Struthio camelus: one gene and its partners. The protein of the gene in region 1 purifies or fractionates together with the protein of each later gene. This does not show direct contact. Links are inferred from orthologs where the notes say so. Each region holds a gene or a part of one and is shown in the gene's direction. Other genes may lie near its edges.

Region 1 (7,290 bases):
CAACTTTCAGAAACTACCAGCTAAGGCCAAATGAGATCCCATGATAAAAGTTCAAGGCCTTGCATTCCTCCTCTTATTGCTTTCCTGAGCCGATTCTCATTTTAATCAGACTTACGGTACTTTCATCCAGTTATCTCAAAGTACATAACAGCCACTATAATTACTGGCAATAATGAGCTAATTAATTCTTCTCAGTGCAATTTTCAAGGGATAAATGCTACCTTTCTCAGGGCAAGGATGGAGAAACTGAGGCAAGGAGGAGATGTTGGGTTTGCCTTCTTTTTAACTGTTCAGTCCTTTCCTGCTTGTTCATATAGGCATATGTATTTGCTTCTTAGTGTGCTTTATGTTTTATTATGATTTTCCAGTAACAATGCATGTTATTATTTTGACAGGGAGCACTTAGAAGCAGCTGGTTGTGTGCATATGTATTGAGGTTCATTAAAGAAGACCTCAGTGTATTTAGCAAAAATCAATAGGTGCTGAAATCTTTTTCCTGTTTTTTCCTTGACCCTCTCTTCCTAGGTTTTCCTTTTTTTTTTCCTCCTTTTCTCTTTAGAGTGGCTTTCTTTCTCAGAAACCGCAAGTAGCATCTCATCCTGCTACTTTTTAATTTATATTCCTCATATTTCAGCTTACGTTTAAGTCTCTAATGTGGAAAGCCAACTGAATATGACTTCCTGATATATAAAGAATTAAGGTATTCTTCTGGTCGTGGAACTAGTAAGGCAGATGTATTGTATTAATATATCAGTTAATTACTTACATTCATAGCTCATATTAAGGATATAGATGTTGTTTGGGTAGCATTCAGCAAAGGGTGTGTGTTTTCCACGGTTCAGATAGGCTAGATGCTACCTTCACTGAACTCACTCCAAGGATAAATAGATAGATAGCCAGAGCAGAAGGGAAGGTGCACAAAAAAGGTTTTATTTTGTTTTTCTTTTTCAGCTTTCACTGTTACTTAGCTAAACAACTAACTGATCCACATGATACCCTCTGGAGTAACAACTCACTACTCAGTCCTTTAACTTTTATTTCTCAGGTTGTGATCCTGCAAGCACACATGTGCTTGGTTTTACTATGGTGAGTAGTACAGTGAGATTTCAGTGGAACTATGTGCTAAATAAAACTAAGCACACATGCAACTATTGGTAGGATCAAGTCTCTAGATAGGAACTAGTGTCACAAAACTTTTATTTGAAACATCTGCTTTGCTCCAAGCTTGTTGTTTAGTAAGGACCAGACTTTTAAAAGTATTTAGGTGTTTATGTGCACCTTGGTGTCTTTATAAAGCTGGCACTAATTCCTTATTGAAGTACGCATTAAGGGCCTCTAGAGAGTCTGAAAACCTTATATAGACTGATTTGAGTCAACTTTTAATTCTAAGGAGACTTTAAAAACAGTTAAAATTAATCTCAGCTGTGTTTAAAAAAAAAAGCGCTTCGCAAGCAAGGGAAAGAGTCAATCTGGCGAAATAAATTGAGGTAATACAAGACTTCTGTAACTCTGAAATATTTCTGAGAGCGTTAGTAGCCATAACAGGTGGAAAACCTGTGAGAACCGTGCGTAGTTTCTAAGGTGAGGCTGTTACTTAGTCGTTCTTGCAAGGCACCCTCCAGCTCTCTTCTCAAACGGACAGATTTGCGCCCCTGCCTATGTCTCCGAGACTTTTCGCCGAGGAGAAGACACGCAGAACCTTTCGGAGCAGCTTGAGCGTAACCCGCTTCGCGTTTTTTCCCCTTTTGTGCCGGGGGGGAAGACAACAACCACAACCACCTTGCCCGAAATAAAGCCGAAACAAGGGAAACTCAAGCGTGGGAGTGAGTATGTGCGCGGGAAGCTGGTGGGTAACTGTTAGAGGGCTGCGAATCTCTACTCCTTCCTTCTCGCCCTCTCCTCTCCTGTGGTGTTTATGCTGTTGCTTGTAATAGGCTCTTGCCCAAACACCTGGTACAGGTCTTACAGGCAGAATGGCAGAAAACTCAATTCTGAGTGTGGGTGGTAAGAAAAAAAAAAAAAGGGGGGGAGAGGGGGAAGGACTGAGCACTCCCTGCCTTAAAGGCCTCCCGAATCTTGCACAGCGAGGAACAAGACGAGGGGATAAAACAACCTCTAACCTCCTCCCCAGTTCGTGTATTTTAGGAAAAAAAAAAAACACAAAAATCGCAAAAAAGAAGTCAGCGTTCGGGAGGCGAAGGGGAATCGGTTCGCAGGAGCTGATGCGCAGGGCGCTGGTTCCTCCCAAACGGCCCACCCCGCTCACATGAAATCGCGGTTTTTCCCATTAAAAACATAGGCAGGCCTGCCTCCCCTTCCCGTTCTTGTCGCAGAAGGGTGTAAAACCGGGGCGGGGGGGGGGGGAAGCCCAAACACCCCCCCCAAACAAAAAAAAAGGCTAGGAAGGGGTATTTCCTCGCTAATGATGGCTGATGAGGGCTTAAAGACTTGAGAAACTCCTGGCCAGCCCGTAATCCCCACTAAGCTCTAAAATGGCTCGGCGACGGTTATCGAGGAGCGCGTCAACGTTACCTACCACTGCCCACAGCCCAGGAGCGGCCTCGCACCGAGCCCCAGGGGAGCCGGCGCCCTTTCAGGCCGCTCCTTCACCCCCCCCCACCCCCCGTTTCCTTTCATCTAGGCATCGCTTTTGGCCAGAAACTCCGGTTTTATGTGATGTTGACGTAGCTCCGGTCACTGGGGGGGGGAGGGGGGAAGTTTATTGAAAAAGGGAGAACAGGTATCTTGGGGATTCACTGCTCGCCAGGCCCCTTTTTTGCGGGGCAGACTCGGCGAGAAGAGGCCTGGCAGGGCCGCCCTGCCACAGCCGGCCGGCCTGCCCCGAGCCGCCGCCGCCGCCGCCGCGCACTTTTTGGCCGACACAAAACAGGGGCGGGGGAAGGAGGAAGATAGAAGAAGCTTCCTCCTTCCTTCCTCCCCCCCTTCCCTTAACGCGTTGCCTTTAAGGGGCGGAGTGAAGGGAGTTTGCGGAAGCGCCCGGCGAATAGCGGGCGCTGATAGGCTGGCCGCGGTCTCGTGACGGGCCGCCGCCGCTCCGGGGTTCCCCCTCCCTCCCGCAGCACGCAAGCCCCCCGCGTTCCATTGTGTGCGCCAGCGCCGCCGGGCCCCGCCCCCAAGCCTGGCCCCGCCCCCTTTTCTCTCTCTCCCTCCCCCCCCCCTTTGGCTCATTTCCGGCCGCCGCCACCGCTGCTCGCTTCCCCTCTGAGGACTCGGGAGAGTGAAGAAACAACAGCCGCCATTTTGTTTGTGTGTGAGCGACTGAGGGAGGGAGCGAGAGACCGAGCCGGACGGGGCGAGCCAGGGGGAGGGCAGCGCAGAGAGACCCAGGGGCCCGGCCAGGGGACGGGGAGAGAAGAGAGAAGCTGAGACGCCCGCCCGGCCTCCCCCCCCCCTCCGCTAGCCTGCCCCTCCTCTCTCTTTATCTCTTTTTCTTTCCTCCCCCCTCCTTTTTTTTTTTTTATTTTTTAAGATTTCTTTCCCCTTTCCTCTCTGCCTTTCCTTCTCCCTTGCGCCCCCCGCTTCTGCCCGCCCCGCCGCACACGCCACAGGAGCGGCCGCCGCCGAGCGCCAGGCAGGGGCAGTAGGGAGCCTGCGCTCGGCCCCCGCGCTCCCAGCGCCGTCCCGCCCCAGCCCCCCCCCCCCGCCGCCGGGGAGCGCCGAGGACCCCCTCCCCCTCCCGGGGCGAGCCCCCCGCCCTCCCCCAGCCCCGGTTTTCTTTTATTATTTTAATTTTAATCTCTCTCTCTCGCTGACCGGCTTCTTCCCCCTCTCTTCCCCGCCCTCCTCCCCCCCCCTCACCTACCAAGCTCTTCGCTTCCTTCCCCACCCTCGCAGCGGCCGGGAGGGAGTCCCCGCCGCGCCCCGGCAGCGGACGAGGCTTTTTCGCCCTCGCTTTTGCGCCCGCCGCCCCCTGCCTCCGCGGCAGCCCCCTCCCTGCCCGGAGCCAGCGCTCGCCACCATCCTCAGGCACCCGGGAGGGGGGAAGGTAGGCAGAGGGGGGGGAGGGGCCGGCTGCTGCTCCTGCTGCCTCCTCCTCCTCCTCCTCCTGCTCCTGCCGCCGCTGTTGCTGCTGCTGTGGGATCGGCCCCCTCTGCCTGCGCTGGAGGGGGGGGCACCCTGCTACTGAGAGCGAGAGAAAGAGGAAGGGGAAAGAAGAGAAGAAGGGAGGGGGGGCAGAGAGGGTGTTGAAACCCGCCCCCCACCTTCCCATCCCGCGATCGGTGCTGCCTCCATCAGGACAACAACCCCGCCTTCTTCCCTGCACAACAAGATGTGAAGCGGAGACTCCTGGGACTTATCCTCACCCTCCTCATCCTTACAGCTCCCCTTTCTGCAGCCATTAGTGACTGGCGAGGAAGAAGCGAGGGGAGCTGGGGACCCCGCGCACGCTCGGCCTCTTTCGCCTCCTCCTCCCCCCCAGCCCTGTCGCTGGCGGTGGGTATTTTTTTGCAGGGTGGTGTTGGAGGGGGAAGGAGCCGCTGCTAGAGGACGGTGATCTTTTTTTCTTTTTTCCTCCTCCTCTCCCCTCCTTCGCCCGCCTCCTTGTGGCGATGAGGAGGAGGAGGACGGCGCCGAGGAGGAAGAGGCTGATGACGGCGGTGAGGAGGCAGCAAGAGGAGGAGACCCCCCGAAGGATGAAGATGATGATGGTGGCGGCGGCGCGGAAGCAACAGCAGCACAACAGCCGGGATTAATTTTACTAAAAACCCACCAGCCTCTTTCTCCCCCCCCCCTCCTTTTTTTCTTTTTTTTTTTTTTTTGGCGGGGGCTTTACCAGCTCTTCCCATCTTCGCTCTGCCCTTTCGCCTGGGGGAAGAGGCCTCTTCCCCTCGCTGCTCCCCACCTTCTCCCCGCTTCTCCGCTGCCGCCCTCCCGGAGCCCGAGCCCGAGGGGCAGAAAAAGGGGAACTTGGCCCCCTCCTCCGGCAGATCCTTCTCGCTCGCTCTCGTCGTTATTGTTGTTCTTCAGCTGACTCGGGGCCTGGGAAGAAGGTGAAGGTTTTGCCCCCCCCCTCCCCCGGTCTCTTTACTCTGAGTGATTGTCTAAAAAAGAATTAAAAATGGCCGAGAATGTGGTGGAGCCGGGCCCGCCTTCAGCCAAGCGGCCTAAACTCTCCTCACCGGCGCTCTCCGTGTCCGCCAGCGACGGCACAGGTCAGTCTCGGGGGCCCGGGCTCTCAGCCTCTTGGTGCCACAAATTACTGCCCTTTTCTCTCCTCTCTTGCCTAAATCGCCTCCTCCCTTTTGCTTCTTTAACTTGTTCCTTCCTTTCTCCTCTCTGTCTGTGATTTCTCCCTTTTTCTTTCTTTTTGCTCTTATTTGTGTTAATGCCGTAGGAGGAGGGTGTTCGGCTATTTCAGCCCTTTTATTTTTTGGAAGTGATTGAAAGCAAAGCTGTTCAGTTTATTGTGCTTTTGATCAGTCACAGATAAGAATTAACAGTTTGTCATTTTCTTGTCTTTCATAATAGTAATTATTTCAGAGCTCCTCGTTAAGCATATGCATTTAATTCCAGTTGCAGAAATATGAAATATTGCTTACAATGATGCTTTTGTACACTTTATTGTCGATTTCTGTGTGTATGTTTGCATATACACACACACACAAATACATGCCTGTTTCTTATTTTATTTTGCCTGTATGTACGGTGTTTTTATAACTCGTTTAGAAACATGAGATTTATTTCTCTATTCTTTTTCTTTTACCCTCTTAACAGGCACTCCGGTTATTTGATTTACTTTTTACAATCCTTCTTACTCTTCCTTGCACAAGGATTTCTAAAAAAAAAAAAAAAAAACCTGTTTTTTATTTCAAATAGACTATCGATTTAAGGAAAAAAACAACAACTAAAAACAAAATCCAGATTGCAAGTTTGGGGCTTAAGGCTTATCAAGAGCCTTAGCATTGTAGAAACAAAATATTATTTCACCTTATTTGCATTAAGAACCAATATGGAGTGCAATTCATTCTGCATCTCCCATTTCTTTGCTGCGAGAGCAAAATGTCTGAAATTCCCCTGTAGACTTATGGGTTGGGAAGATAAAGGGGCTTCTCTGCAATCCTGCAAAGATCTTTGGTGATGTTTTAGTAGGGAGGAATAATCTGCTCTGTGGAAACTCCAGAGTTGCTGTGGAGTCAAGCTAGAGGCTGGAAGTCTCCGGTGTCCCCATCCCTAGCAAACATGAACTGGTTGTACTGGGAAGGGAGAGGGAGGTAACAAAGGGCTGCTCTGCTTTTTAATGCTTCTTGTGAAGCAGATGAGCATTTAGTGTCATTTTGCTCTGAAAGTACTTGGTTACCTATCCCACAGGAGTTTCCTTAAACTCACTTTAGATCATCTTAGCCTATGGGAGTTGGAGGAGGCTGCCTTCTGCAGAATCTGATGAGAGATGGCGTTCCTGGTGCCACCAGTCTTAGTCACTGCAGTTAGATCTGTGAAGAAAAGGAAGAGTTAAAAAAAAAAAAAGCTGATCGTTTGACAGTAAACAGGAGGTTTAAATACCCAGTTTTTGGCTCAGCACGGGGTGTGATTCCAGTTTGAATCATCTTAAAAATTTTGATTTTTGCCTTCTCTTTATTCTTGGTGAATGACACATTAGTTTTAAAAAAAAAAAAGTTTATGTGTAACTTTCAGAGCATTTTAGTTATAGGCAGTTTTGTGTTGTAACTGGAGCAGATGACTAGTCTTGATATCAACAGGTCTCTGGTAAGAGAGTAGGAGAGGGTTGGAGGAGCTCTTCAGCTACAGCTAGTTGTGGAGGTTTTTTTACACTAGACTTGGAAAGCAGTACTTAATTCAGTAGTAATCGTTTTCATTCTTTCTCTTGACAGGGTTGGCCTTGCTCTGTGTAGGTGGCTAAATAAAAGATGGGTTTTGTGAGAGAAGCCCTGATGCTTGAAAGTAGGAAAGTTGGAGGGTTGTTAGATGAATACAAGTATCAAAGTTAAGGCATTTGCGATCAGATAAGATTTGTGTAAAGTGGATTTATTTCAGTGTAAGAGGTGCAGATTTTCTCAGAATATTTAGTTTCTTTTAATTGTTAGTCTACTGGACAGTTTAATTGGCGATCTTTTTATATTTATGGTGAAACACACTAGGGATTATTGGACAAATTCAAAGGAATTCAGATATGACATTGTAGTGTGCAAAACGGGATACATTTTTTTGAAGTTGTTGAGATTGTCATCACCTGCTGGCTATCCAGAGGTTTTTAATGGTGCAAATATTTCATGTATGTTACAAAGAACTGTTGAAGGGTTCTCATTCTTG
Region 2 (7,276 bases), on another chromosome or scaffold:
GGTCCCCGCTGCCGGCTGCTCCCGGGCGGGCAGTCGCCGCCGTCCCCCTGCCCCGTCCCCGGCAGCAGGTCGCAGGTGGAGCGCGCCAGGCCCTGATGACATCGCATCGGCGCGCTGATGTCACGGGGCTGCGGGGAGGCGTCCCTCAGCCCTGTGCTCCCCTCCCCTTCTCCGTGGGGGGGAACCGGCACAACGGAGCGTCTCCCCCCTCCGCAGCATATGACATCATCACACGTGTGACATCATCACACGTGTTAGGACATCACATCACGGCACTGGGACCCGCTCGTAGGGCGAGGATACCTTCTGGTGGCAGAGGGCCTCCGGGCACCCCGGGGTCCCTCCCCTGCACCGCCGGGTGCAGAGATGCCCGTGACAGTCTCCGTGTTGGGGACAAGCTGGTAGCACCAGGGCAGGTTGGGGACACGTCCCCCCCGCGTGTCTGGCACTGCACAGGGGTCAGCGTATGATGGGGCAGGAGAGCGGGGGGAGCCCCAGCGCCCACTGGGGCTGCAAGGTGCTGGGCACCCATTGAGCTCCCGTGTCCCCACGAGCCCAGGCGGGGACGGCCACGTCCTGTGCCCGCTGCCCTGGGTTGGGGCACCACCAAGGAGCCACCGCCGGGGACATCGGGGCAGCTTCAGCTGCCCCAGGGTCAGAGCAAGGGAGCCCCTGGCACCCCTGGGATCAGGGGAGCCCCCTGCACCCCCCTGGGACCACGGGAGCACCTAGCACTCCTGGCACCAGGGGACCCGCAGCACCTGCTGGCACCAGGGGATTCCTGGCACCCCCCTGCCTGGGAGCACCCCGGCGAGCCCCCGGCACCCTCCCAGCACCCACCTGGGAGACCTGGCACCCCCCGACCCACGCACCAGCACCCCTCTCAGCCCCTGAGGGCTGCTGCTGCTGTGCCCGCTGCCGGCCCGGCTGCGCCCGTGCTGTGCCGCCCGCGCCCGCTGCTGCGCCTGCGGGGCGAACGCGCTCTCTGCTCTGCTCTCTCACTCTCCACCAGGCCAGTAGCTTCCAAACCCTCCTGCGGCAGCAGGCCCGGCTGGAGATCCTGGCTAGAAGGGTCACCTTGCTGGAAGCCATCATCTGGCCAGGTAACAGCGCCGCTTTCCGTCTCCCCTCCTCGCATGAGCTGGGCTCGCCGCGTCCCCCTGGGAGCTTGGGCTGCCTGGCGCAAGGGAGGCCGGAGCCCCTCGGACCACGTCCCTGGAGCTCACCGGGAGTAAGGGAGCCTCCAGAGCCCCTCTCGGAGCAAGTGAGACCATGGAGACCTTCAATCCAAGAGGCCAAGTGAGACCCTGGAGCTTCCCAAGGACTAAGGGAGGCCCTGGAGCTCCTCTCAAAACAAGGGTGACCCTGGAGACCTCCTGGATCAAGGGAGACCTTGGAGCTCCCCAAGGACTAAAGGAGGCCCTGGAGCTCCTCTTGAACGAAGGAAGACCAGGGGGACCCTCTCAGATCAAGGGAGACCTTGGAGCCCCTTGGACCAAGGGAGCCCTTGGAGAATCTCTTGAACCAAGTGAGACCATGGAGACCTCTTGGATCGAGGGAGACCCTGGAGCTCCCCGAGGACCAAGGGAACCTCTGGAGCCCCTCTCAAACCAAAGGGGACCAGGGGGACCCTCTTGGATTGAAGGAGACCCCAGAGACTCCCCTGGGACCAGGGGAGCCCCCGGTGCCCGGCCCCGCTCGGTGCCAGGGTGCCAGCTGTGTGCTGGCGGGTGCCCCCCTCTGCCTTTCTCTTCTCTCCGCCTCCACTTTCCAGCTCTGCTTTTTTGCGGGGAGGGGGCTCTTTTCTTTCCGCATGCCAGGCGGGGGGTGCCAGCCGGGTGCCAGGCAGGGGTGCCAGGCAGGGGTGCCAGCTGGGCATGGCAGCTACCATGAGCCGGGTCCCAAAACGACTCTCCTTGTCCCCCCCGCCACCCACCTGCTGGGCCGGTCACCCCGGAGCGAAGCCCACCGCGGGCGCGGGGCTCTGGTGCCAGGCGGGCTGGTGGCCGTCCCGTGTCCCTGTGAGCGGGGCTGTGCCTGGCCTGGGGGCAGCTCACCCGCCGGGGGGCCGGGGACATCGCCGGCGGGGGCACCGCGGGGCGCCTGGCACGCGCCCGCAGCGCCGTGGGGGACAAAGCCAGCCCCGGCGTCGTGTGCCCCCTGCCCTGCTCCGTGCGTGGGGACTCGCTCGTCCCCAGCGCGGTGCCAGGCTGACACGGAGGGCGGCCGGGCTCCTGGTGCTCAGCACCCGCGAGGCGATGAGGAGAAACCCCGGCGAGCTCGGCGGCCCCCATCCAGCCCCCTGGACCACGGGCCTGGCCCGCGGTGGCAGGCGATGGGCCGGGGGGGGACCAGAGACCCGGGGCGATGGGCACAGGGGGACCAGAGACCCGGGGCGATGGGCACAGCTGCCCTGGCATCCCATCTCACCCCAGCACGGCCCAAAAACCTCACGATGGGGAGGGGGTCCAGCCGACCCCCTGGCCCGGCCGTCGTGGCTGCGCGGCCGGTGGCGGGGGGGGGCGGGGGGGTGCGACAGAGCCCGTTCCCGGGGTGCCAGGGGGTCCCGCGGGGGGTCAGGGCTTGCACCTGCGCCGGACCGCCGCCTCACGCCTCTCTCCTCTCTCCTCCGCAGAACCGGAGCCTGGCTCGGGCAGCGGCCCCGGGGGTCCTGCGGCGCCCGGCTCCCCCCGCCACAAGCGCAGCCGCCCGCCCACCTACCGCATCGTGGCCCGCGAGCCCCCCGCTGGCGCCCAGTGACGGCCCCCAGCGACGGCCCCCAGCGACGGCGGGCCCGTACCGGCAGGGAGGCGTCGGGCTCCGGCGGGCGCCCTGCAGCCCGCCCCGTCTCGTCCTGCGCCCCGCCGCCCGGCAGGGCGTTTTGGTGCTAGCCGGCGGGACGCTGCCGCCCCGCGGTCCCCCTCCCCGGCCCGTGTCCCCGTGCCCCCCGCTGCCCCCCCGCGCGCTTCAGCCCAGCCGCTTTGGGAACGACCCGCGTCGCCAGGTCATTAAACGCCTCCCTGAAGCCCGTGTCCGGCGCAGTCCGTGCGCGTGTCCCCCCCCGGGGGCCGGCCCCCCCCCGGGAAGAGCTGAACACCGGGCACCCCCCGGCTGAGAGCCCCCGGTACCAGCCTCAAAACCCCCCCGGTACCGGCCTCAAAACCCCCCCGGTACCGGCCTCACAGACCCCCCTGGTACCGGCCTCGCCGCCCCCCGGGTACCAGCCTCACAGTCCCCCCCGGTACCGGCCTCACTGCCCCCCCCAGTACCGGCCTCGCCGCCCCCCCTGGTACCAGCCTCACAGACCCCCCTGGTACCGGCCTCGCCACCCCCCCCCGTACCGGCCTCGCAGCCCCCCCGGTACCGGCCTCACAGACCCCCCCCAGTACCGGCCTCACTGCCCCCCCCCCAGTACCGGCCTCGCCGCCCCCCCCCGGTACCAGCCTCACAGACCCCCCTGGTACCGGCCTCGCTGCCCCCCCAGTACCTGCCGGTGCAGCCACATGGCCACAGCCGCCGGGGGCAGGGGGTGGCCGCGGCCCCCATCGGGGCGCCCGCCCCGGTACCGGCACCCCGGGGTGCCCCCGGCTCCCGCCACACTCGTGGGGGAGGCAATGGGTGGGGGTTGCGTGCCCCAGGGGCAGGCGGGGGGGAAGGGGGGTCGGGGGGCCCCACGGGGGGGCATCCTGCCCACGCGTGGCCCCAGGCCTAGCCTGAGCCGGGCCCCCTTCCCCACTGCGTGACGTTGTGCCTGATCTGTGGCCTCAAAGGATGACGTCACGCCGTGCGACAGGTGACCTCACGCGCAATGCCACGCGGCAGCTGCTCCGCCTGTGGCAGCTGCGCCGTGACATCCCCCCGCCACCCCCCAACACCGCGCGTGACGCCGCGCGATGACGCCACGCCGCGGCCTCGCTTGCTGGCGCCCGCTACGTGACGTCAGGCGGTGGTGACGCCTGGCCGCCGCGTGACGTCAGGCGGCGGCGCCGGCAGCGCCGCGGCCCCGCGCTGCGCCCCGCGGCCGAGGCGCCTCTTGCGCGACGCTCCCCAGCCGCGGCGGGCCGAACCACTGCTCCGGCCGGGAGGGGGGGCGCGCGGGGCAGCGCGAGGACAGCGGCGTCCCCAGCGGCGCCCGCCGGCCCGGAGGCCGGTACCGGCTTTCGGCCACACCGAGACAGAGCCCGGATCCCGGCGGCGGGGCAGCTGCCCCTCGCCGCGGCGGCCGCCGGGCCGCTCCCCCCCTCCCCGCGCGGGCGCCTTGGTGCGGCCCGCGGTGGGAGGGGCGGCGCCTGCGCGGCGCGGGGCGGCGGCGGCTGCAGCAGCCGGACGTTGGGAGCGCCGAGGAGGAAGGCGAGAAAATGGCGTCGACGGGTGAGCGGAACCGGGCCGGGCCGCGGGGCCTCCCCCTTCCCCCGCCCCGCCGCGAGCCCGAGCCGCGCCGTTCCCGGGCCGCCGCCGCCTCCGCGCCGGGGCGGCCCCGCCGGGCAGCGGCGCGTGTCCGGGCCCGCCGGCTCCCGCCGCCGCTTCGGTGCCGTTGAGGCGCGTTTGAGCGCTCGGCGCGCCGGGGACACAATGGCGGCGCCGGCGCGGTCCCGCCCGGCGGAGCTGGGGGCCGCCGCGGCCTGAGCCGCGCGCTCGGGCCCGGGGGTCGCGGCGGGCGGGGCGAGCCCGGCCTTGAGTTCAACCCCGCGGCCGAGGCCTGGCCGGGCTCGCCCCGCGCCGCCGGCCCCTTCGGTTCGGTTCGGTTGGCCGCGGCCGGGCCGAGCTTCCCCCCAGCAGCCCGTGGCGCGCAGGGGTCCTCGCTGCTGTCAGTGGTGACTCATCAGAAAGCCGTAACTCTCCGGGGCTTCGCTCTGATGGGAATACTTTGATTTTTTTTTTTTGGTCAGTTTATTTTAAAAAAAAAAAAAAAGCTTATGATAGCGTATTGCTAGAGCTTCCACCCTAGAAAAAGCGCAGTAAGATGCTTTGGCTCACGCCCTTCCAAAAAATCGCTCTCTTTATTGAAGGTTTCCCCCATGCCTTCGTTTTTTTGGGTTTTTTTTTCCCTAAGGGCTATTCAAGGCTGTTTGTTGGTGCCACTGTGATTCCTTTGAAGGAAATCAGTGAAGCGTTGTGGAGGAAAACATAACTTTCACGTGAGGGCCGCAAATGGGTGTAAATAGGTCAGCATTCAGACTTATCAACGGTGGCGGCATCATGTTTAATGTAGAGTTAAAGCCCGATGCAGAAGATTGGATCGTCCCACAGGAGAAAATGTCATATACCAAGGAGTGTAAAGGAGAATGACTAATATCGCTTTGGAGAGCAGGGGAAAAAAGTTACTAAAGAAACATGTGCCGTAGCATTGTCAAAATGGGGTTTAAAAATACAGCTGTCTTTCCGCTTAATAAATGGAAATGTTCATTTGTGGGAGCTACTATTTTAAGGCTGCGCTATTGTGCTCCTGAGCCTCGTGAAATATAAGTATGAGGATTAATTTCCCATTGGAAATAAGGGCTCGGAGATATTTTTAAAAAATTAACCATAATATTTTTTTTGAACGCTTTGCACCAATCTGTGTTCTAGCAAATTGGAAGAGAAGAAGACAAATTGCAAATTAAACTTACTCACCTGGATTTAAATCTAGCTAAGGGAGGAATGGAGTATCTCGGTATGCCTGCGTGAAGGCTGTAAAAGGGGATATGAGTGTGCGAAGGAGGCTTTGACTGGCGACTGTGTGCATAGCTGAAGATCCAAGCCCGGGGTGGTGGTAGGTTGCCGGTGGTCAGTGGGCCAGGGGTGAAGGCTGGGGAGATGGGTGCCCGGCAGTCAGCCCTGCTGGAGGGGATGAAGCTGGAGCTATAGATGTGAACAGCCTGAAGGATGACAGCAGCCCAGAGTGGAGCAGGAAATGGGAATTCAATGAGAGCTAGGGAGGTTTTGACGGATGGGGGAGCGAAGAGGAGGTGAGGTTGGGAAAAGAGGGGGGAGTGAGGACGTTGTACAGCAAGATGCAGGAAAGAATGGAGGAGCGCTGAGAGATAGGAGGAGGCAGTGAGAGATGGAAGAAGCTCAACTGGATGAGGGGGAATTGGTGATGGTATTTAATGCTCCACATTTTGCGGAGCTGGTAGTCACGCGTAGACTGAAAAAAGAGGCAAGGCCCTGAGTTTAGCAAGCTGGACTTTTAAAATCTTAAACCTGACAACATATAAGGAAAGCGGGAGTAGTGCTGAAACAGTCTAACAACGTATGTGGCGCATTTCAGGATTTTGGAAGCCTTTGAGTAGCAGCTGAGCATCTTTTTATTGTGTTTTGACCAGTGTGCAGTGGTTTACATCTGTCAAAAACTACTACCAAAGTTATGGCATCTCCTTTCTTAATACGTTTCCATCAACACATGCCCTAGAGCCTGAGCTCCAGCCTCAATAGAGAGAAGTGAAAGGGAGGAAAAGCCGTATGTTCACGCAGAAGGGTTAGGAAGAAGAGTGGAAAGCTGTATTATGGACGAGTCTGTGGCCTCAAGAAACGGGAACCTTTGGTGCATGAAGGTGTATGACAGCAGAAAACTATTCAAAATGTTTTCTCGTGCTTTGTCAACTTCAGTTGCAAACAGCTGGAGTCATAATGGGATTAAGGCACTCTCTATAATCTGAGGATAACTGATGTCTGTAGAGTCTTCAGCCAGATTCCTTAAATTCATGCGCTTCAGGTTTTTACCAAAGATTAGCTTACCCTAAGTACTATGGCAGCAGAAACACCTAAACCTCTTTCTGTTTGGCTCTGTATAAGAAAAGGTATAATAGCATTTTGTTTCTGTCTGCTTCCAGTTCAGTCAAGTGCAGTGGCCCAAGTGGCAAATTGGAAGTCGGAACTCTTTCCTGATCTCCCTACTCTGCTGATGGGCCTCTTCTGATTCTGGAAGAGTTTGAATTTGTCTGGGAAGGTTTGGGCTAAGCGATGAACTCGTCGCTACCGTTTGCTCTAGACGTTTGGGAGGAAACTGAAATGCTTTGCAATATGAGGGAAAGCGTACATTTAGGAGCTGTAATCATTTCAAATATAGCCTTGTAATTGCCATGCTGGATGCATTTTCCATCCCTTGCAGCTAACTGGTTAAGTGTAGATTTTTTTGCTTGCGTTTTCTGAATTTCAGTTTTCCTCTGAATCAGGCTGTTGCCATAGATCAGGGCTTTGGGGAAGGAATTATTGCCAGCTGCCTGTCTTGAACTTTGATATGGGGAGAGTGTTAGAACTTTCCAGCAATTTGTTTTTGTCCTTGAAAGTTAAATAG
Region 3 (7,567 bases), about 15 Mb from region 1:
TTCTTCAATTGTTGCTCCCTTGGCTTTGCAGTGGTTCAGCTTTTCGGTGAAACCACTTGCTGCTTTATTGGTCTCCTCCCTATCTGCCCAGCACTGACAACTTTTTCCTTTCAAAAGGAGAAATGGAAATAGAAGACTGAGTACGAGAGAAGATGTTACAGCAAAGATAAACAATTTTTCATTTTCCTCATTGGTTTTGTCCCTTTACAGTTGGTGCATGCTCTGAACACGCCTGATCCCTGCCCTCCAGTCAGAGGGAAAGGCTCCTAGGGTTTAACTTGCAGGTAGACGTGCACGGATTAGGGACAAAAGTCTTCCCGGAAGAGTAAATCTTCTTGGGATGCTGACATGCAGGTGATGATTAAAGTGATCTTACATCTGACCTCACCTGTCAGGGAAAGGAAAAAAGGTACAAATCCCACTATGAGGCATATAATTGGACTCAGAGCTAAACCTCCCATTCCTCCTCCTATCCAGCTTTCCTGCTAAACCTCTGTCATTTATCTTCTCTTGCTGCTGCCTCAAATTCCTCTTCACGCTCTTCCCAGTACCTCTACAGCCCATTTCCAGGTCTAATCCCATTTCCCTCTCCTCACACACACAAGTATACTATCATGCACACCCAACAGAAGAGCTTCTGTGGCCCAGCCCTCACCTTCCCTAGACCTATGTTAAAAGAACTTATACGAAACTAGAAACCGTATGGCCACCTGCTGTGAAAGACTGATAATAGGCAGGACTACTTGACTTCAAACACACACTGTTCCATTACTTGTGAAATATGATTACATCTGCTCTTTATCTTTCATCTGGTTACTCAGTGATAATTGACTGCTCAAGGCTGGCACTCAATTTTAATTATCCCCCCAGTGAAAACACAGCGACAGGCTCTGCAATTGCTCTCATATCTGCACACAGCATCCGTAACGCAGTATCCTTCCACAAAGAGTAAATCCTTTTTTTTCGCCATAAATTAGCTGTACAAATTACTAAGGTATATTTCTCCAAAGAAAAACTTTGTTAACAGAGATAAAGATGCCTACAGATCAAAATGAATGTTTTAAATCTGCAATATATTAGAATAGCTTAGATTCAAAGTCCTCTAACAAATGGCTGCCCTGTTGCCTTCTCTAGTGGCACAGGTAAATTTCCATTTCCCTGTTTAGCACAATTCATTTCAGAGAACTAAGCATCTAGTAACTTCCTTAGTACTGTGTCAACAAAGTGGCTACACAGAAGCTGAAATAAGCATCAACATGTCATCTCACTACCATCCAGAATTGCTAATACACTAATAGATATGTAAGGAGCTCCACTTAGTGGCAAGAGAAGACATTTTCAACAACAGTGTCTAGCATGGGCGGAAGACATCTCTGAAATGTAAATATGTATACTAAACACTCTCTACTTAATTCAATCTCTGCGTGACTCATTTTAATCAAAGCACTAGAATCGTGACCTTTCACTAGGATAGCTTTATTCATGTTCAGTAACAATTTCTGAGAAAATTCAATCACTGGCTGTGGAAAGATGTTGTTTAATCAAGCAGACACTCTGAATTATAAATGATAAGTGAAAGCGAGTTTTGCCCAGGTGCTTTATAATCTATGACTGACATACTTGTTATTCTGTTCAGTAATGGGGATTAATCTGTATAATTACAAGATCCTGATTACTTCCTGAATGAAGTTGGGGTTGATGAATATTTACTTTAGATAACTCCCCAAGACAGTTATTTGGATAATAAATAGATAAATAAACATGAAACTTTGAATAAAAATTTTTTTGCAATTTTTTTTTTTTTTGCTTTGTAACACTATTCGATATATAATCCCCTTGGCTGAAAAAAATCAAAAACCCTCAATATTTTTATTTCCTGCTTGCTAGGCTTTCTTTCATTAGTAAGTAACTCCTTCTCCTACCTTTGCTTCTTTTTCTCTATTCTTTTTTGAAAAACTGAATGACTGTTTCACAGTTCCCAGCTTCTCTAACCATCTCCTTAGTAGAAGTAGTCTCGCTTGGGTGTACAGAATTAGTGCATCTCTAAATTAAAGATTTTCAAACTGAGGGGAATAAGCACATCTAAATAGGGATTTTACTAGGTAGCTAAGAGGAAGGCAATGGTGGGGGTGAAGCCAAAGCGAATATAGCTAAGGCCAAAGGCTGTCAGGCTCCGTCAGAGGAAAATGACCGCTCCAAGCACAAGCAGAGAAAGCACAGCTGATAGGCATGACTAAATTAGGATATTTTTCCTCAGCAAGAGCCTCCAACAGTGCTGGATTGGTTCAGCATTTCCTCTTGTTCCTGCTCAGAGCATATTCTGCCTTTTCCCTTCTCACTTTGCTCCTGTTCCTGCTTGAAACGCTTCCTCCTGGACACATTCTCTCATTCCAGTTGCAGTGGCACCATGGCAGTATGTTTCTCCTTCCTCAAATCCAAACACGATCCGTGGTAGTATTTTCCCCTCCTCATGCTCAGCTTGAGAAATGTGGTATAAAAAATTCTGTATTGGAATTGGGATAGAGATACAGAATGTACCCTGGAAGACAGGAAGGAAAAAGTGCGAGACCGCTGCTGAATAAACTCGCTTACTAAAGTATGCCATGCAAGGTATAACCTGAGTTAGGCCTAGGGTAAACTCTGGAGATTTTTAATTATTATGCTACGGGTATTATTAGGTCTAGGTATTAAAGTCTTGATTTAAGAAAACATGTAAATACCTTTCTTTTCACTATTATTTCCATATGTCCTTAATCATGTTTCCCAGAGATAATAAAGGTGCTTCCCACAACTGTACCTTTAAAAGTAATATCCTTCTATATCACTATTAAATCTGGACTCTAAAGGTTAAGAGACAAGGAAATTCCCATACCTGAGATCTTTAAGGTATAGATCTTGTCCAGCTATGTGGCCATGTTTCACGTTTTTGATAGTTTTCCTTATGTTGATGTCTCTCCCACTTTAACCATATTGATAATTTATTTTTTGCTTATTTAAGCTCCCTGTGTTTTAGTAGTTTTGTCCACTTGCTGGTCTAAACAGCTAAACAATGTCAATATCATATCTAATAGCAGCTGCACAGCACTCTGAAGTTTGTATACAACTCTCTAGTTTTTTGATTACATGAAAATTTGAAATCCTTAGAAGGAAATGAAACTATAAAATGCAAGCTGTATTTTTACTGTAGTAGGAATGGAAATATCTTCAGTGTGGAAGGCAAAAGCCAGTTACTTTCTGGAAGCCACTATCTGGTACAGTATAGAGCATCCAGTGGTTGGAAAGAAGGCAAAAGAGTGTGGTTGGGACCTATAGGGAAGCACAAGGCTGTGGTTTACCTGGGAATCAATCAAGTACCTAATGCTGTAATTAGGTACTGTAAATACAGGCACCATGTGGGATCAGTGCTTATGTGATCATCTACGTGTTTATACTAAGTGCATGGACCAACTGATTTATAACTTTTATAAAACTGAGCAGTAGTTGATAGCATACAATCAATATACAGGTTTCTATCCGATAAAACAAAATTTCCTCAGAATGAAACAGCAGTTAACAGCATGGTGCCTAAGTTCTGCCTAAGTCCTGCATTAGGTGTCAAAAATCCCTGTTTAGGGATTTGGCTTTAGTGACACCCATCATGTTCCCTACTAGAATGTTCACGTTCCTGCAGCGTATGGAAAACTTCACACATAGTATTAACTAATTTTCTGTTTTTAGGATTTTAAGAATGTAGTCATAGGTTTGTTGGGTCTAGTAAGATTTTCAGTTCAGATTGGATATTATTGGTTTCACATCTCAATTGTTTATCTCCTTTTTTGATTTGCATCTGCCTTCATCGAACTGCAAACATTTTTGCCTTATCTGTCTCTTACAAGTATCTCTCTACCTGGATATCATACTGTTGCTTTGTGTAGGACAAAAAACACACTCCAATTTTACAGAAGACTAAATTAATCCAAGCAACAAAATTATTAAAAAGAAACTGCCCTAAGCACATGTCAGGATCCTCAATACTGAGTTTTAAGTAGGTAAGTGTTTTCTTAATGTTCTTTTGTATCTTTACTGACAGTTGGCTAACCCCTTCACTGAAAAATTTATATAGTAAGTTACCAGAACAGTGTTTTTTAAAATATAAATCCAAGCAGAATAGCTAACTAGGAGACATACTTCTACATTTATATTAGCCTTTGAAAAACCTAATTAAATGAAATTTAGCTACTCAAAATTTTAATATTCAAGAGCCCTGTAAGCTTTTTGCTTACAGTAAATGAAGTAAAAAAAAAGTAAGTAAATAAAGTAAGTTAAAAAGTACATTTAAATATGCTGCTCTAGGCAGAATGTGGCTTATTAGCAATTCCTTGTGAGAACTCAGGAAAGTTGAAACATCAGGAGGTCAGAAAGCAAAATGCAGTGCCTATCCTGAGCTGAAACATCAGGAGGTCAGAAAATGAAACACGCTCCCTATCCTTTAAAGAGAAACAGCAGAAGACTGGAGTTATGTCAGCTTCACCTACCTGCTGACAATTTAAACGTTACTCCCAGTTTTAACACTTAAAAAGGGAGATGAATGACAGCCTATGCGCTCCTGTCAAGAAGGGGTACAGTGCCGTACTAGTCTAAGTTTTCAGTCTGTTGACAGAGTGTTTTCAGATAAGGCTGGCAGGCTCCTTCAGCTTCAGGTAACATCTTCAGACGCTTCTTGGGGAAACAATCCCATCAGCGTGGCCGCCTTGCATTTTATGCAAGGCCAGACGGGCGCTGCGGGGTATTCTGGGCTCCCCATTTTCCGCGTCTCCCCACCTCTTCCTCTGCACGCAAGGCCTACGCGGCCCTGCAGCCGGCCGTGCTGGGATCGAGACCAACCGCAAAACACTGCGTTTCTTTTTGGCAGCGTTGATTTGCTGCTGCTGCAGGAGCCCGAGCGGAGCGGAGGAGCACCAGCGGCGGCACAGAGGAGTAACTGTAAGGGGATAAAGGCCGCAGGCAGCCCCCCTCCCCTCAGGGCGGGCTCGCCGCGCCTGCGCAACGGACCGCCGCCCGCCCCCCGCACTGCCGCTTCCGGCTCCGCACCCGCCCGCCGACGTAGTTTCCGGCCTGAAGCGTTTCCGCTGCGTCATTTCCCCCGCCGCCCCGGTCGCCGTTTCCTGCCCGGCCGGAGGGGGCTCGTGTCCCTGCGCGCGCGCGCCCCGCCCCCACCCACCTTTCCAGCCGCCCGCGCCCCCAACCGCCGCTCCGCGCCCCCAACCGCCGCCGCCGCCGCAGCCATGGCGATGAGGCAGACCCCGCTGACGTGCTCGGGGCACACGCGGCCCGTGGTGGACCTGGCCTTCAGCGGCATCACCCCTTACGGCTACTTCCTCATCAGCGCCTGCAAGGGTGAGGCCCGGCGGGGGCGAGGGTGGGAGCGGGGGCGGCGGGGAGCGCCGCCAGGGGCGGCGGCGGCCCCTTTGTTCATCCTCGGCGGCGGGCAGGTGAGGTGGGGGTGGTCCCTCGCCCCTGGAAGGGGTGGGTGTGTGTGTTGGTGGTGGTGGGGGGGCGCTACTTAGGGAAGCGGGAGCGCGGGCAGGAGGCCGCCTTAGGTGAGCCGAGCGGCCGGTATTAGCGGCGGATGGTCGGGCTGGGGTGCCCGGGTCACCTAGCGAGACGCTGGCGGTCTCACGATAATACCCGGTTTCAGCGTTATCGAGTGAGAAAGAGCCTTGACAGCTGGCAGTGGCGTTGCCAGTTTAACCTGTGCGCTTTGAGAGTTTATTCGGTTCGGGTCGAAACTGTAAAAATTAAAAAAAAAAAAAAAAGAAAAAAAAAAGTGAAACTTCTTACAAAATTTTGTTTCCGAACTAGCCTGTTTTTACCTTCTGCACACGTGTATTGTACATCTTAAATTGAAGTTTCTTTTTTTAAATCACGGTGGCTGTCAGGGTGGATGTAGAATGGTGATGCCACTTTCCTTTAGCATGAGAACTTTCCTCTGCTCATTATGAGAATAGTATTTTGACTTCATACATGTGAATATTAATCTATGTATGTATTCATGATCTCCCTCCCAGCGTTGGAGTGCTTCCTAGTCAGATTTATTTCTTCTCCTGGGTGCAACTTTTTTTTATAGCCTCCCAGAAAAAAATAACCATAAGAAAGATTTTCTAATTCCATTTCATTTTCTCTCTATATTTTGAACATATAAACATAAGACTCCTTTTTGGGCAATGCTAGTCTGAAAATTTTTTTCTAAAAACAAAAGAGCTCTTCTGCCTGTAGAGGAAAACTGGAGTAAAACCAAAGCTAAATGCTCCTTTCTCCTTCTTTATCCCTTTTCTTCCTTGAAAACCCAAAGAAGTTTTATATTTACTTTGCAATAGTATTTTAAGGTCTGTATAGAATTCTAGATGTTCATGGTAGGTGCGGCTGCATATCTAAGCTCTTTAGCTAAACTCTTTTTCAAAAAATAGCATCATAAAAATACATGCTATTTCCCTGAAGGGAGATGTCTGGTGGCAATTTCTTTTTTATTCCATGTTGGTGTAAAGGAGTCTTCTTAAAGGTAGTATCGTTTTGTTTGATAACATTATCTGAATATTGGTTTTGTTTCTGTGAAGATGGTAAGCCTATGCTACGTCAGGGCGACACAGGAGACTGGATTGGAACGTTTCTAGGTCATAAAGGTGCTGTTTGGGGTGCTACTTTGAACAAGGATGCCACTAAAGCAGCTACAGCAGCAGCTGATTTTACAGCGTAAGTGATTATCTGCTTTTGAAGTCTCACTCTGTTTTGATTTTTCAGTCAATGATATTTTTAGTGACATAGTTGTTATAAGTTATTGATATATCTGTTCAGTAAATTATTAAGCTCGTTTATGAATAGCTAAATTAAGATCTAGAACTCTAGACTGTTGAAAGTATAGCTACAGTTAATTTTTTTTGGATAACTTTGATTGCTTCTTGATCACAACACTTAATTACCATAGTAGTCTGCCGGAATAACGTTTTATTTCCAGCTCTAATCTTTAGCATGGTAGAGTGCTAAAATCAGAGTTGAAAGAGTGATTTTTGTTTTGCTCCTCCTAGTTATCACTTTTTATTACTTGTTTTCTGTTGCTTATAGCTGGGGCAAATAAGCTCAGTGATACCAACGTTTTCATAGCATCGTAGAATTCATAATAGCCACCATTTCAAGGTTTAAGAATATATCAAGAATTCTAGAAAACTATTGCAGAAATTTATTTATTTATTTTCTTTACTGTCTGTAGTGTGTATTAACGTTTGGTAATTCGAATCCTGTTAGTAGAGGGCACTTTATATGAAGTCACAGAGGACAGCTGCACTTGTTTATCTGTAAAACTGAAATAATAATAATTCTGCATTATCTTGAAGAGGGGAAATTAAAATAGCAGGATAGTGCAAAAAAAACATTAATAAAAGCATATAAAGTATTCTTACTGGCTAACTGGGTTATTACTTATCAGAATGTAGTACTTAGGACAAAGTTGTTTACAAGCTGATCTGACTTCCAGGTTGATTTGTCTCAGTGCTACAAAATTTAAATGTTTTCTCTTGTCATTTAGCAAAGTATG
Region 4 (6,863 bases), on another chromosome or scaffold:
CTACCGTGTCCCGCTGTTTTCCTTGTGTACACAGAGGAATTACATTTCCATCTATCACCCCTTCACTCTGTTCCAAGAGACACCTTACCCTCACACTTTGTTTTCAGGTGCACAAAACATTAAAGTAATATCTTCTACAGTTCAGGCTGACAGGTTCTAGAAAACTTAAGGTTACCCTTTATTTCCAGCTTAAAAGAATCACTAAAGAAAAAGGAGGGAAGGGACAATAAAAAGCATAAAAAGTCACAAAACAAAAAGGGAAATCGTAAGGGAAAATAAGCATGAATAAAGTGGAGGCGATTAGCGAGCAGCAGAAAAGAGACCAAAGGGAGGTGAAAAGGCTACTTCTCACCCAGCTCCCACCTGTAGAGCACGAAGGTCGGCCACCTCTCCGGCACCCTCGCCCGCCCCACCACTAGGGAGGCCCCTCGGGCTGGTGGGGACGCGCCACGACCTAGCCCAGCGGCGGGTAGGGTAGGGCAGGGCAGGGCAGGGCAGGGCGAGGGCAGGGACCGGGGAGAGGCGCCCCACGGGTCAGAGAAGGGCGATCTCCTCAGGAGCTCCCTTCTCTGGCCCCCCTACCTGTCTCCTCAGAGCTGCCCATGGCGCGGTCGCGCGAGCGCCCGGTGACAGCACCTCACGCACCCTAACGGACCAGGGCCACTGCCCCGCCCCGGGTAATTTAAATAGCCCCTCTCTGTGTCCCGCGCGTTGATTGGGCCGTCTGTGCAGGAAGAGGCGGGGTCTCCCGCTGAAGGCCGTCGCGATTGGCTGCAGCTGGGAATGGTCCGCCCCGGGCCCGCCTCCGTTGGCGTTGCCGTTGCGGGTTGCCTAGCCGCTGGTTGCCGTGGAGACGGGGAGGGGGTGAGGCGCCTGGGCCTCAAAGCGACGCCGCATCGAGGATCACGTGGCCCGGACCTTGCTTCCCCCCCTTCCCCCCGCCCCGTGCCGCTTCCTTCCTGGCGCGCGGGGCTGTTGGTGGCGAGGCGCTGGCGGGGGTGGGGGTGTCTGCGGCCCGCGCGTTCGCGCATGCGTGGAGCCCGCGGCGCGAAGGGGGAGGGGGCGCTGCTCCGGCGCGAGGAGCCGCCGCCGCTTCCTTCCCTCAGCGTCGTCGCGGGCGGCGGGTGAAGGACGCCGGGCCGCGTCGGGGGAGCGCCTCGGTCGGCGAGGCAGGCTGGCGGCGTAAAATGGCGGTGTAATAAAAAAAAACTGCTTTTAACTCGGGCTCGGTTCCGCGGGCGGTTGGGGAGGGTTTGTTGAAGCGGTTCCGCCCTTAATCACCCTGAAGTGAGGTGATTTCTTCCCCCCCCCCCCCGATTTTCACAGAATGAGGAAGGAGGGCCGGCTATGGCAGGCGGGGTGGAGCAGGGGAAAATTCTAGCTCTTGACCTTGCAGGGCCGGCCTCGGGGTTGTTTGCTAAAAGGTGGAGGTGGTGGTTACGTTAGAAGGGTTAGTGTACAGTTTGTACAGTTGGGGAGTTTGGTTTAAATTAGCAGGTGGTGTAGGTCTGCTTGGGAGATGGCAGGTAATTTGATGACTTTCCTGGATGTTAGGAGTGCCAGAACCTTTATTAGAATTATGACTTAGAAGGTTTCGTCCTGTGAAATGTACTGTACAATTAGCTGCTAGTTTACAAGATTCTAGAGGCCTTTGATGGTGAAAATGTATTTTCTTCCTTACAAAGCACATGTGTACAGCGCTGCTTAGGGATTCTGGAGTTTCCATGTTGCCCCAGGTCTTGCAAAACTAGAAATAATGGTGCCTTAAACTCCTGGAGTACGTAGAAGCAGCTGAGATCTCAGTGATGACTGTAAGAACAAGGGTAGGCAAGTAAACACCAGGGGTAATGATGGCTTTAACGGTCCAAGGACAGATAATTGGTAGATACATAATCTTAACGCACGTTTATACCAGTTAATCTGATAAAAACAAAAGAGCTTTTGGGTATATAAAAACGGATGTCAATACTATTAATACTGAAACATGGATTTCAGTTTCATACATACACAGCTCTGCAAGCCTCTTTTACGTTGCATGTATTGGCTCAAAGAAAGACGGGAACAGAGGAAAATAAACAACATGTTTAACGTAAAAGGATGAAAGAAAAATGAGGAAGTTTTTTTCCCCCCAAAGAGGAAACTGAAGTTACTTGCAGTCTAAATGTGTGCAGCTGGCATGGAGACTATGAGAGGTTCTGAGGGCTATGTTTCTTTAGGTGAAATTGTGTGGATTTACGTAAAAAGTAACATGTATGAGGAAGAAACAGCTGTAGCTATACCTAAAAAAAAAAAGATAGGCCTAGCTTAGGTGTTGCTTTTGAGGGTCAGTCATGGAATCATCTACTACTGTTCCTTTAAAACCTTGCTCCAATCTTAGCAGCAATCAAAAAATGAAAAACAATCATTAGGAAATAATACAAGACAAAACAAAAACACCATCATGCTTTCATTATGTAAATCTATATGGGGGCCCAGATTTTGAATTCTATGTGGGTTTCTTGTCAATAAAGTGGCAAGGATTATCCAAAGTGCAGAATTGCTTTTAAAGGAGAAATAATTAGATTGCACCTCTGACTTGGAAAAGGAGTAACTGAGATTAATGTCCCGAAAGGGTATAGATAAGGTGGATAGGAAATTATTATTTACCATTTCTGACAATTCACTTTGCTAGTCCTCCCTTGTTCTTACCAGTCAATATGTTGAAAACAAAGGGAAGTACTTCTCAGGTAGTGTATAATTAAATTGTGAAACTGATTGTTACAGAATGCTTTAGAAGATAAGAGCATAAAGAGAGGAAAAATGTGAAACATAACTGTCAAAAACAGTTACGTTATTTTTGTTTCCGAAAAGTCTTAAACCACAAATTGCTAGAAGGTGGGAGTAGCCTATAAAGGCAGGGTGTTGTTACAGCGTTTTTTCCTTACGTTGTTTTTGTTTGCTATTGGCCGCTGCCTGAAAGAGATGGTCTGGCAATACAGTGCTTATGTTTATGTGTCAAGCCTCATCTTGTATGTGCTTAAAGCCACAGGTAGCAAGACATTCAAGTTATTCCTCAAGCTAACAAAGCAGGGTAGATAAGCAACCCTAGTAACTTCAGGTGTTTGACATTTATTACACCTGTGCTTTCCAAACAGCAGTGTCCTTTGGTGCACTGGTGCACTCCTCGTGACCTTTAATTTGCTTTACTAGACCTGGTGTGGAATTTGAAAAGATAAAAATAGCACCTGTTTCCAATCACATGGATTTTAATATTAATGAAAGTGCCCAGGCAATGGATAACAATCTAAAATTACTGCTTAAGCAGTATTTTATCTATCTGCTGTTCTAATTATTTGTGGCCAGCGGGTTAACTTCGAGAGGACCCGTGCATCCAACCCCTTCAGTCTATTTGAAATCCTGGGAATGCCTGTGGCTGAAATACTGCTTTTAGTCCCCAGAGATAAAAACTCCTTTATGGCTCGGTCCAGTCCTGTGCATGTGCAGAGGAAGGTCACTACTTAGCCACTTACTGATGTCTTACGGTGTCAGATGTACTAGCTGTCCATAGGTAAAACATCTGGGGGGGGGGGAGGAGGGGATCGCGCTTCCTGTCGGGCCAAAGCAGCTCCGGGCCCCTGCCGCGGGTCGGGCGGGCGCCGCTAGGCCGCGGCCCCCCGCTACTGCGCAAGCGCGGCGGCTCGCGCCCTTCTCTGCGTGGGCACTGGGAGGGGCAGACACTCCCGCTGCCGCCGCCGCTGCCGGGCAGTGACGACACAGAGGCCACGCCCACAAGGGGAGGGGGACTTCCGCCCGCGCGCGCAGAAGCCGGTCAGTCGGCCGAGCCGCGGCCACGCCCACAAGGGGAGGGGCCGGAGGCTCCGGCCAGCTCGGGCCGCTTACATAAAACAAGGGGCGGGTTCTGCGCCTGCGTCACCAACCGGCTCCCAGCAGCCTCCGCGGCACCCCTTATATAACCGGCATCCGGGCAGCGGGGCGCTCTACATTCAGTGGCCCCCACCATCGGCGTCGGATCTCGCCGTACCTTTCGTCACCCTCTTTAGTGACCGGAACCGTCTCGCCACCATCGCTTCCATCGCCATGCCCGGGTATTCCAGCGACAGGGATAGAGGGTGAGTCCGGGGGCCCGGCTGGCGCCAGCCGCCGCCAGCGTCCGGACTCTTAAACCGCCTATGGGGGTTTTGACTGCTGCTTTTTTTTTTTTTTAAGCCGTCTAAAATGGCGGCGAGGCGTGGGGGTTGGGCCCTGGAGCCCTTCTTCTCAGCTCTTGCCGTCTTCAGAACTCCGGAGTTTCGTGACGAGAGCCGGGGGGGGGGGGAGGGGGGAAACGCCTTTAGGCCCTTTCGGCGCCGCCAAGGGCAGCCACCGCGTGTGGGCGGCCGCGTAATCCAGGGCGGGGGCTGAGTCCGTCCGCCTCCGCGCAGCCCCTGGCCGCTTGTTAGGGGTGCGGGCGGGGGAAGGGGGATCGAGCCCTCTCTCGGGACACCCCCCTGAGTACGGATGGCCCTTGCAGAGCTCGATTCCTGTCCTTCCACACCCCCCTGCCAACCCCCCGCCTCGGCCGCGGGGGCGGACTGAGCAGTGGCGGGCTGGCTGGAGGTTTGTGGGTCAGTGGGTTGGCCGGGCGCTTCGTCGATGCCGGAGAAGCCTTGGGGGAGCTCTCGGTAGGGCGGGTCCCTTCTCTCCCTTCCCCCCTTCGCCGGCTCTGGCTGTTGCTGGCAGAAGCCGGCCGGCTCCCGCTTTGTGTTGTGTAAGCGGATGTTAATGGCCGGCCCCGCCATGCGGTGACTGAGGGGAAATCAAAATGCCGGCTGCTGCTGCTGCCTTTGTTCCTCCTCCTCCTCCCCCCGCCCAGCTCAGACTCTAAAATGGCAGCGGCTGGAAAATGTGGCGTAGACAGAAATGAGAGACAAAGGAAACAGCGCTGGCAGGAAGCAGCGGCCACTCAGCCGGGTCCCCTCTGGGAGCGCTGTGTTGTGTTGGGGAGGATCGCTCCCAGCGCCTGCCCAGCCAGGAGTGGGGTGCAGTCGGGGCGGGGGAGGGAGCGCCCCGCTCGGGTCCGGGGTGGTGGTCCTCGGGGCGCGGGTTCGCTTCGCTTAGATCCGTCAGGGTAGGCTTCTGAGACGAACCCCTTCTGAACGAAAGGGGATAACGCGTAAAACGCGTGGCCTCGTGAGAACGTCGTTACTGAGAGGAGCCAGCCCTTTGGGATACCAAAACAACCGTTTACGGGGAAGTTGTGCCGAGCTTTTGTAACTGCCTCTGCTTGCTTTCTGCAGGCTGACACACAAGGGGAGTGTCGCTCGTGTGGGAAACTATTTTGATCGTGGGGGTTGTGCAGGTGTTTTAATGTTCTTGCTGTTTTGTAGGTTGTTAATAAGTCTCGGTTTCATTTTGTGGAAACTGCAAGGTAATGTGTTACCTTAGTTTCTGAGCATGAGTTATAACTAGGCAGATCATGGCATCTGCAGCTTGGTATGTTTTTGGAGTTTTATTATGATGTATGTGAGACTTATGAAACTGAATTGTCAAGTTGCATGTTTGGTTGTAAGGATAATGATCAAGTTGTATATGAAAGAGAGTTACTCTCAGGTTTTGTATTATGGTGTATTCTTCTCTAGGTTTGGAGCCCCCCGTTTTGGAGGAAGTAGAGGTGGACCTCTGTCTGGAAAGAAATTTGGAAACCCTGGGGAGAAGCTTACGAAAAAGAAATGGAATTTAGATGAGCTGCCCAAATTTGAAAAGAACTTCTATCAAGAACATCCTGATGTAGTTAGACGTACTGTGGTATGTACCCTATCCAACTTGTGTGAAAGTAAATAAATAAAGTACAAACATGCTGAGGGTCATGGGACAAGGATGAGGTAACTTATAGGATAACTTTGGTATCAAAGCTTATTTCTAACTATGGGGTTTTTGTCTTGCAGCAAGAGGTTGAACAGTACAGATCAAGCAAAGAAGTCACAGTTAGGGGCCATAACTGTCCAAAACCAATTATAAACTTCTATGAAGCTAACTTTCCTGGTAAGTGCACAATAGGGTACTCATAGACTTCATCTTAATCAAGCCTGGAAAAACTTAAGTTAATAAGTTCTAATTTTCTCTTCAAGCAAATGTTATGGAAGTGATTCAGAGGCAGAACTTCACTGAACCAACTGCTATTCAAGCACAAGGATGGCCCGTTGCCTTGAGTGGACTGGATATGGTTGGAGTAGCGCAGACTGGATCAGGGAAAACACTGTCTGTAAGTTCTTGTTTGTAACTTGGAATACTGCTGAAATTCAGCAGTGACAGTTTTGCCTGGCTTAATGCAGTCTGAACACCTCTGGGAAGAGACTGTAATGAGACTTTTTTTTCCCCTCCCTTTTCAAACAGTACTTGTTGCCTGCCATTGTGCATATAAATCATCAACCATTCCTAGAGCGAGGAGATGGACCTATAGTGAGTATTCCTAAATGAAAGGGGTTCTTAATTTTAAAAGAATGCGGATTTGTTACAGTCCGTTTTGTCCACGCTTATGTGAGTACAAAGTGCTTTCATATACCATAGCAACATTGTATTTCTCGTCACAGATCAGTGATTTTATGTTTCAGTAGTAGTAGTCTCCCAAGATTGTTCCATAAGCTCAGATTTATTTATTTTACTTCAAAATCCTCCAGAACAGGACTAGATGTCCTGTTTTGGAAATAAACATCCCCTGGAAACTGGTGGCTTCCAAATACGTGACCTAACCACACAGCATGGGCGAGTGTCTGGTGGTAGTTGAGATACTGGTTTCCTTAGCTTTCTTGTTCTGTCTGTTCAGATAAATCCATTTTACTTGTGTTCTGGTGATAGCATAGTTGTATACAATGATCTTTCCAGTC

What was found.
Region 2: the proteins of EP300 (region 1) and EWSR1 purify together in Homo sapiens (affinity purification with mass spectrometry; 3 studies listed by BioGRID and IntAct, with this or other methods). This does not show direct contact. The link is inferred for Struthio camelus from reciprocal best matches to the Homo sapiens genes EP300 and EWSR1.
Region 3: the proteins of EP300 (region 1) and STRAP purify together in Homo sapiens (affinity purification with mass spectrometry; 3 studies listed by BioGRID, with this or other methods). This does not show direct contact. The link is inferred for Struthio camelus from reciprocal best matches to the Homo sapiens genes EP300 and STRAP.
Region 4: the proteins of EP300 (region 1) and DDX5 purify together in Homo sapiens (affinity purification with western blotting; 5 studies listed by BioGRID and IntAct, with this or other methods). This does not show direct contact. The link is inferred for Struthio camelus from reciprocal best matches to the Homo sapiens genes EP300 and DDX5.

The regions. Positions count from the first base shown.
Region 1 is NC_090942.1:57,018,532-57,025,821, reverse strand, and holds the start of EP300 (histone acetyltransferase p300), read left to right. Parts: upstream 1-4,281; 5' UTR 4,282-5,080; coding exon 5,081-5,174; intron 5,175-7,290. UniProt on the Homo sapiens protein: Functions as a histone acetyltransferase and regulates transcription via chromatin remodeling. Acetylates all four core histones in nucleosomes. Histone acetylation gives an epigenetic tag for transcriptional activation.
Region 2 is NC_090958.1:5,247,535-5,254,810, reverse strand, and holds the start of EWSR1 (RNA-binding protein EWS), read left to right. Parts: upstream 1-4,259; 5' UTR 4,260-4,358; coding exon 4,359-4,371; intron 4,372-7,276. Other genes in the region: EMID1 (EMI domain-containing protein 1), read left to right, coding at 2,636-2,760. UniProt on the Homo sapiens protein: Binds to ssRNA containing the consensus sequence 5'-AGGUAA-3'. Might normally function as a transcriptional repressor. EWS-fusion-proteins (EFPS) may play a role in the tumorigenic process.
Region 3 is NC_090942.1:71,984,237-71,991,803, forward strand, and holds the start of STRAP (serine-threonine kinase receptor-associated protein), read left to right. Parts: upstream 1-4,562; 5' UTR 4,563-4,577; coding exon 4,578-5,376; intron 5,377-6,593; coding exon 6,594-6,729; intron 6,730-7,558; coding exon 7,559-7,567. UniProt on the Homo sapiens protein: The SMN complex catalyzes the assembly of small nuclear ribonucleoproteins (snRNPs), the building blocks of the spliceosome, and thereby plays an important role in the splicing of cellular pre-mRNAs.
Region 4 is NC_090960.1:4,672,155-4,679,017, forward strand, and holds the start of DDX5 (probable ATP-dependent RNA helicase DDX5), read left to right. Parts: upstream 1-3,843; 5' UTR 3,844-4,077; coding exon 4,078-4,109; intron 4,110-5,618; coding exon 5,619-5,784; intron 5,785-5,924; coding exon 5,925-6,021; intron 6,022-6,107; coding exon 6,108-6,241; intron 6,242-6,372; coding exon 6,373-6,438; intron 6,439-6,863. Other genes in the region: CEP95 (centrosomal protein of 95 kDa), read right to left, coding at 583-604. UniProt on the Homo sapiens protein: Involved in the alternative regulation of pre-mRNA splicing; its RNA helicase activity is necessary for increasing tau exon 10 inclusion and occurs in a RBM4-dependent manner. Binds to the tau pre-mRNA in the stem-loop region downstream of exon 10.